Mus musculus: one gene and its partner. The main gene of each other region encodes a partner of the protein of the gene in region 2 in a complex. Links are inferred from orthologs where the notes say so. Each region holds a gene or a part of one and is shown on either strand. Other genes may lie near its edges.

Evidence for each region.
Region 1: Nbas (region 2) and Rint1 share a complex: the UniProt entries of both Homo sapiens proteins name them as parts of the NRZ complex. The link is inferred for Mus musculus from reciprocal best matches to the Homo sapiens genes NBAS and RINT1.

Annotation. Positions count from the first base shown.
Region 1 is NC_000071.6:23,811,616-23,815,264, forward strand, and holds part of Rint1 (RAD50-interacting protein 1), read left to right. Parts: intron 1-94; coding exon 95-294; intron 295-3,649. UniProt on the Homo sapiens protein: Involved in regulation of membrane traffic between the Golgi and the endoplasmic reticulum (ER); the function is proposed to depend on its association in the NRZ complex which is believed to play a role in SNARE assembly at the ER.
Region 2 is NC_000078.6:13,267,631-13,272,075, reverse strand, and holds the start of Nbas (neuroblastoma-amplified sequence), read right to left. Parts: upstream 2,950-4,445; 5' UTR 2,926-2,949; coding exon 2,812-2,925; intron 2,756-2,811; exon of another isoform or gene 2,582-2,755; intron 913-2,581; coding exon 858-912; intron 1-857. UniProt on the Homo sapiens protein: Involved in Golgi-to-endoplasmic reticulum (ER) retrograde transport; the function is proposed to depend on its association in the NRZ complex which is believed to play a role in SNARE assembly at the ER. Required for normal embryonic development.

The DNA.
Region 1 (3,649 bases), on a different chromosome or scaffold from region 2:
TTTGATCATAAAGGCAGTAAAGCCGGGCTTTAGGGAAAACCAGCTGTCATGGAGAGTACCAGGTTCATTCATGTATTGTTCACTCTCTCCGCAGACAGGTATAAAAATCTCCCCACAGCCTCCCGGAAACTGCAGTTCCTGGAGCTACAGAAGGACCTGGTAGATGATTTCAGGATCCGGTTAACGCAGGTGATGAAGGAGGAGACGAGAGCGGCCCTGGGCTTTCGGTACTGTGCGATTCTCAATGCCGTGAACTATATCTCAGCAGTGCTGGCAGACTGGGCTGACAATGTTGTGAGTTAATGTGCTTTTATAGGAAATAATTTATTAGTACCTTTATCTCCTTTAGCCTTTCAAATGTTGACTTTGCTGCAAGCCAAAAAATTACATGTTAGACTGTGTCTCTGTGACTGGCTGTGACTGTGTGGCTGTGGCTCTAACTGTGACTGGCTGTGACTTTGACTGTGTAACTGTGACTGTGTGACTGTGGATATGGATGTGGATGTGACTGTGTGGCTGTTGCTATGACTGTGTGACTGTGGCTGTGACTATAGCTGTGACTGTGACTGTGTCTCTGGATGTGACTGTCACTATGGCTGTGACTATGATTGTGTGGCTATGATGGTGGCTGTGACTGTGTGGCTGTGACTGACTGGCTGTGACTGTGGCTATGTCTGTGACTGTGCGGCTGTGACTGTGGCTATGACTGTGTGGCTGTGACTGTGTGACTGTGACTGGTTATGGCTGTGACTGTGTGACTGTGGCTATGATTGTGACTGATAGTGTCTGTATCTGGTTGTGTCTCTGGCTGTGACTGTGGCTGTGACTTTGTGGCTCTGGCTGTGACTTTGGCTGTGTCTCTGGCTGTGACTGTGTGACTGTGACTGTGTCTGTGTGGCTGTAACTGTGTCTGTGTCTCTGACTGTGTCTGTGTCTCTGGCTGTAACTGTGACTGTGTGATTGTGGCTGTGATGGTGGCTGAGACTGTGTGACTGTGGCTGTGGCTGTGTGGCTGTGGCTGTGTGGCTGTGGCTAAGACTGTGACTGTGTGGCTGTGACTGTGTCTGTGTCTATGTGGCTGTGACTGTAGCTGTTTCTCTGACTGTGTCTGTGTCTCTGGCTATAACTGTGACTGTGTGATTGTGGCTGTGATGGTGGCTGAAACTGTGACTGTGTGACTGTGGCTGTGTGACTGTGGCTGTGACTGTGTGGCTGTGACTGTGTCTGTGTCCATGTGGCTGTGACTGTGGCTGTGTTTCTGTCTGTGTCTCTGGCTGTAACTGTGACTGTAGCTGTGTCTCTGGCTGTGACTGTAGCTGAGACTGTGGCTGTGTGGCTGTGGCTGTGTGACTGTGGCTGTGACTGTGTGACTATGGCTGTGTGGCTGTGACTGTGTGACTGTGTGGCTGTCTGTGTGACTATGGCTGTGTGGCTGTGACACTGTGACTGTGTGACTGGCTGTGACTGTGTGGCTGTGGCTGTGACTATGTGGCTGTGACTGTGTGACTGGCTGTGACTGTGTGACTGTGGCTGTGTGGCTGTAGCTGTGACTGTGGCTGTGACTGTGACTATGTGACTGTGGCTGTGACTGTGTGACTATGGCTGTGGCTGTGACTGTGTGACTGTGACTGTGGCTGTGGCTGTGACTGTGTGGCTATGACTGTGTGACTGTGGCTGTGGCTGTGACTGTGACTGTGTGGCTGTAACTATGTGACTGGCTGTGATTGTGACTGTGTGGCTGTGACTGTGTGACTGTGCCTGTGTGACTGTGGCTGTGACTGTGGCTGTGACTGTGACTGTACTAACTGAGTTCTGGCCTTGATGGTGCTGATTTGTCTTCACAGCAAGTCCTCCAGCCACCCTTACAGTGCTTCATCAAAGGTCTGTTCCCACACAAGTCCAGATGCAGAGAAGAGAACGGCAGCTTACCTTCCTTTGTTTCTGATTGGCTGTTGATAACCATTTGTTGTTGGGCCATGCCACTCCCAAATTGTCCAACCTCTCAGAATTTTCTTTTCAGTTGTCTGTGACAGAACTCCAGTTTTACTGTCGGTGATAAGTGCAGGCAGGGTGTGTGTAATGAATAGACTGGGCATGCCCACTCCACAGGTCATCTCTGGTTGCATTCTCAGGCACTTCCTGGACATGTGGCCATCGGTAACTCTGGGCTGACTACTACAAAAATGACATTTTAGTTCTCTGACTGTCAGAACTCCAGGTTTCTGACAGCCTTCAGTCTGTGTTTAGAAAAACTGAATACTTAAAGGAACATGCTCACTAGCAGAAAAATACAGTATCAAAAATAAAAAATACTGCAGTGAGAAAAAGAAACTGGCAGGGGAGGCACACCCCTGGCTTCTGAGCAGTGGTGGCACAGGCAAAAGGGGTGCCACACCTTCAAGACCAGCTCTATCTGCAGAGCCCCAGGCCAGCCGAGACTACATAGTACCACAGAAAAGAGTGCACACCAAGCACTTGGGAGGCTGATGTAGGCTGGCCATGAGTACAAAGCTACACTGAACTACTCATTTGTCAGCCTCAACTACACAGCAAGATTCAGTCTCCAACCAAAACAAAACCCTCACACATCAAAACCCAACCCAGACTGAAGCAACAAACCTGCTCTGTGCAGGCAGAGCTTCAGACCTCTGGCTATGGCTGGTGGTGACTTAACTGCTGCAGCTTCTGGGCGAGGCAGCCTGGCAGCTCTTAAGACGGTGGGTGGAGTTACAAGTCCAACAGTTCCATTCCTCAGGACAGACAAAGACAAAGGAACACACTTTTTACAGAAAAATGCACATATTAGTCTAAGCAACATTATGCACAATAGATACAAAATGGAAACAGTCCAAACGTGTATCAGCTAGCGAATGTATAAAATGTATGGTCCTGTGATGTACTGGGGGGCAATAAAAGCATGAAGTACATACTTAGAACATGCTATGGCACTAAGAGAGGAGCTGGTCATGAAGAATAGAACTTCATATGGTTCCATTTTCTTGAGACGTCCATGATCATTGAATCCATAAACAGTAGATTAGTGACTGCCTGGAGTTGGAGGAGTGGGCACAAAATGGAGATAGACATGAATGAGGATTTTGTAGGGAGGAAGTAATGGCAGTGCTCTAGAGAAATGGTGGATGCACAGCTCTGAGTTACTACAGCCACTTAGTTGTAAAAATGATTTATACTGTGCATGCGTATGTGTGTGTCACGGCACACATGTTGAGATCAGAGGACAACTTGCAGAGCTTGGCTCTGTCTTTCCACCATGTGGGGTTCAGGACTAAAGCTTCAGGGCGTCAGGCTTAGTGACAGCGCTTCTGTGCACTGAGCCATCACACTGGCCCTTAGTGACAGTGCTTCTGTGCACTGAGCCATCACACTGGCCTTTAGTGACAGTGCTTCTGTGCACTGAGCCGTCACAGTGGCCCTTACAGTGCTTCTGTGCACTGAGCCGTCACACTGGCCCTTAGTGACAGCGCTTCTGTGCACTGAGCCATCACACTGGCCCTTAGTGACAGTGCTTCTGTGCACTGAGCCATCACAGTGGTCCTGAGCTGCATGTTTGATTTTGAGGGAGATGAAAGCTTTTATGTTTACTTTGAGTCAGGGTCTCCTGTAGCCCGTACTGGCTTTGAACTCATGG
Region 2 (4,445 bases):
TCTCTCATGCACTCTCTTACACACACACACACACACACACACACACACACACACACACTTCCATGCACGCAGCTAGGCACACCACGGAAGAAAAGTCTGAAGAACGTCATCTCTAAGTTGCAAAATAAAGAAAATTCTATTAAAATATGTCGGTATTTATACTTTCAGTTTTTTCTACAATTATTTTGATCAGTTATATATATATTTTCTAAATAAACCAAGACTTCATTTATGATTATGAAAATTGAATACATTAGAACTTATATAAAATCACAGCTAGCCACAAATTTTCTATTTCTTTAAATTGAATTTTCTCTTCATAAGGAACTCAGATGTAAATTGAGGACGGCCTTCAAGGCCCGAAGGCAGGTAGTTACATTCCCAAAGAACACTGTGGCCAAGTCCCCACAGCCAACCATTACAGCAGAGGGCTGGAGAGCTGCCTCAGTGCCGAGGAGCACTGGCTGCCCTTGCACAGGACCTAGGTTTGGTTCCCTCCCAGCACACTCATGATGGCTCACAAACACCTATAACTTCAGCTCCATGGGATTCTACATCTCTTCAAATCTCCATGGGTTCCGGCACACATCTGGTACACACGCATGTATGTACTTAGGCACACACACACATGCATACATATAATATGTAATAAATAAATATAAAACAACACTTAACTTGTCAGCCTAGAAGAACTATATCAATCTGTTAATTAATATTATAAAGCCCTCATGGTTCAATAAGGCTGATGCTCAACTCTTTTTCAGACTCCTCCTGGTTCATAGGTAAAGTGCATAGTTGTGAAAGGAGAAAAACCTGTCTATGAACTATATAATACATAAAATGCAAGGCCTCTTTACCTCTGATTGCTTTTGTGATGATGAATGATGCACCGTGCTTTCGGTTGCCTCTGAGCTAAAATAAAATAAATAAATAGATAAAAACTTACAGTTGAGAATTTTATAATACTTGAAACATTTAAATTTATGCTTCTCTACTTATATCCAGAGCACTGAATACCAGCATCAGTATTTTAAAACTTCTTACAGGTTGCAATATGAACTGTGTGTAGTAGCAATAAGAGTGAGAATTATGTTCATAGATCCCTGTCAGGAAGAACCCCAAGGTGAGGTTAGAAACAGTTTCCACATCAAAACACCAATGAAAAGAGAAGGAACCACAGGGGCAGAGCTGAGCTGTGTGGTAGAGAACTTGCCTATGACGTTCAGGGGCCTGGGTTTGAACAAAGACAATACTAATTGCCCAGTCAATGCAGTCTATAGGGCAGGCACAGAGACCTAAAACAGATTTCACTAAGAGGAAAAGTGATTACCTATTGTGTATCCATGGAGACAATGTTATTAACAAAACACAGATATGTAACTACTACAGTAATTAATTTGAGTCCACAAACGTAAACTGAATGGCACTGTCTGTAGAATAAAGAATAACAAATACAGTGAGTAGAGTGCTTTCAAGTTCTACCAAGAATAAAATGAATAAGTAATCAGTAAGAACAGATACGTTACTCCCTAGGACGCTCGCTTAACAAACATGAAGGAATCATCAGGGAACAATTTGGCACAGTGGAGGGATATAAAGTTGATCCCAGGCAGAGCTTATAGGGCAACAGCTGTAGGAAACAGATGTAGAAATCAATAAAGAAGGCAGATAAGAAAAGGCAGAGGACAACGAGATTTCAATATAAGTTGACTCCGTGTTGTTTTTTTAATCAACGTATAGTGCTAAGCATTGAGACAGTATTACAGACATTTCTGAAATGCTAGATATCTTTATCCAACTTAAAGGCGGCAGCAGCCTCTCAATTTCATCATCTACAAAATGTCCACGTCACTCACTAGAAACCGAAACGAATAACAATATATGCAGCTTTTTGCCATTACAAGACCTAATTGAAGACAAGCAGAATAAATACTCAGAAGACAAGGTAAAGGAGCTCACTGGGCCAGATTTAAGAGTCTTCCTAGCCATGCTGCTTCCCCAGGGCCTAACACACGGGCATGCCAGGCACTTGATACCATGTATGTCAAGTAAATGGGCCTTGGGCTCCTGCTTTCACCCTATGACCCGAAGGCTTTCCCTAGGAAACTAGTAACTCCAGGGTCCATAAGTTGGCAAACACCACAACTTTGTCTCCAGCAGAATTGGAGAACCGCTGCTTCTTTCTCTCCACTCCCTTGGCATTCTACTCAGCCAGCACTTCGGGCTTGGTAATGAGAAACGTTCACTGGATTGGCTATCTCTCCTCCACACTGCAAGTTCCATGAAAACACTGTCTCTGAATGCCCAGCAGCCTGCACCATATCTGGGGTCCGAGTGTGTGTGTGTGTGTGTGTGTGTGTGTGTGTGTGTATCACACACACACACTGAGAGAGACAGAGACAGAGAGAGACAGAGACAGAGAGAGACAGAGACAGACAGACACACACACACACTAGTAAATGCGTATTACTGAGACTTTTAAAGGACGATAGAGTCCTGCGAAATTCTCCCGCCACAGGTAACAAGATTACAAGGCAAGTCCGGATATGACAAGGACCTAGGGAAGAAGAGTGACACTGACCTGCCGAGAGGGTGACAGCCTGAGTGGGGATACACAGCCGAATTCGGAGCCAAGGCTGACTACAGACACCCTTCAGCGAGCCCTGGACCCGGCAGCCCCGCCGTTGCCAGGAGACAACACAGCTGCTATCCCCGCTCCACTTGCACTGCGTGGCACCGCGACGTGGCTTTACACGCCCCGCGCCCGCGCCCGCGCCATGCCTACAGCCTTAAAAAGAGAGCCCGGCTCACCTGCACTTCTGTCTCAGGTGGCCATTCGGTATTGACCAGCAAGTCATAGAGAATCGTCTCCTCCTCGTCCGCAGAGCCGGGACTCAAAGCCGGCGCTGACTCGGGGGCCGCCATGTTGGCCGGGAACAGAGTGGTGGAGGGAGGGGCACTACGGCGACTCGCGCGGGTCATACTTTCCTGGACGCGGCCGCTGGTGATTGGCAGAGTGAAATGAATTAAGTGCGGAAAGGGAATGCTAAAAATGACAGAAAGGGAATGCTAAACTTGACAGATCTGTGGGTCTAAGAATGGCCTTGTCTTGTATGAGATATGTCTTGGACCCTGGTCCACTTTTTGTTCATTTGTGCCTGAAATGAGTCAAGTCACTGAACTTTTCTTACCCAGTCAGCGTCTACGAAGCTGCAAGAACCTCCCAGAGTGCTGGTGTTCATGTACAGATTCTTCTGCAAACACAGAACGTGTTCGGAGAGTGGACTTTAAATGTACCAAGGGGTTATTCAGTTCACAGGAAGGGTGCTTTAGGCACCTAGAAAAAAACAGTGAGGCTGATGAAGACACCCTGTAACAAGGAGAGCTTGTCAGCTGTGTAAGAGAGGATGTCCTAAAAATCACCATACAACATGGACTAGCCTCAGACCCAGTCCTCCTGCCTCAGACCCAGTCCTCCTGCCTGAGCCTCCCCAGTGCTCAGAGTACAGAGATGTGCCATCAGGCCCAGCCCTGGGCCTTCAACTATAGGTAGAAATTGGGTTCACTGGAAGTCAGGAGAGAATATATCAGTTAGGAGGTGCACAAGACATAGGAAGATTACGTTGCTATAACAGACAGGGTGAATAGAGAGGCCAAGCTGAGAAAGGGTGTGGAGGACGATAAAGATAGGGCAGCTTGAGGATTCCCTAGAGGGGAAACTTACCTCATTTGCTTGCTCGTTTATTCATTCATTCATTCATTCATTCATTCATTCAGCATATGCCTGTCTTTGCAAGGCCCTTTAGTGTAAGCAGAGCCAATTACGACCAAGACGACCACATTGTTGTTGAGTTGAAAAGAAGTGAAAATTCACAAGATACCTTTCAGAAATTATCCTGTAGAATAACCAACTTAGTGCATTAGGCAATGGTATAATAAAATGCACAACTGGAGCGTGTCTAATTGTTCCCATGTCTCTCCAAGTTCATCTGCACCTTGTACTCTCACAGCTAAACTTTTGCCACACACACACACACACACACACCATTCAACTTTGCTGTTTCTAAGACAACAGACACACATAAACATCAGGAGATCTGACACGGATGTTCTTTGTACACAGAGGTTGTACCTGATGTGGCTCTGCTATTGCTCTCTCATCTCCTTCCGGTTGTAGTTTAAATGCCACCTTCCCTCCGAACTCTTGTTCCTGTCTAAGTTCACACTCACTTTCTTCCCACTCCAGCTTCCCAGCCCTCCCCGTGCCTGCTCAGGTTGTCTGTTTGTTTGTCTGCTTGTGTGTTTAACACAACATTTGTTATCATTGGATATGCTATGTGATGTATAATTTATTTTACTTGTGTACAGTCTGTCCTCATCCTCCAAAAATGTAAACTCTAGCCCAGAAGAATGCAACGTCGTCAGGTATAATAGATTCATTTCAC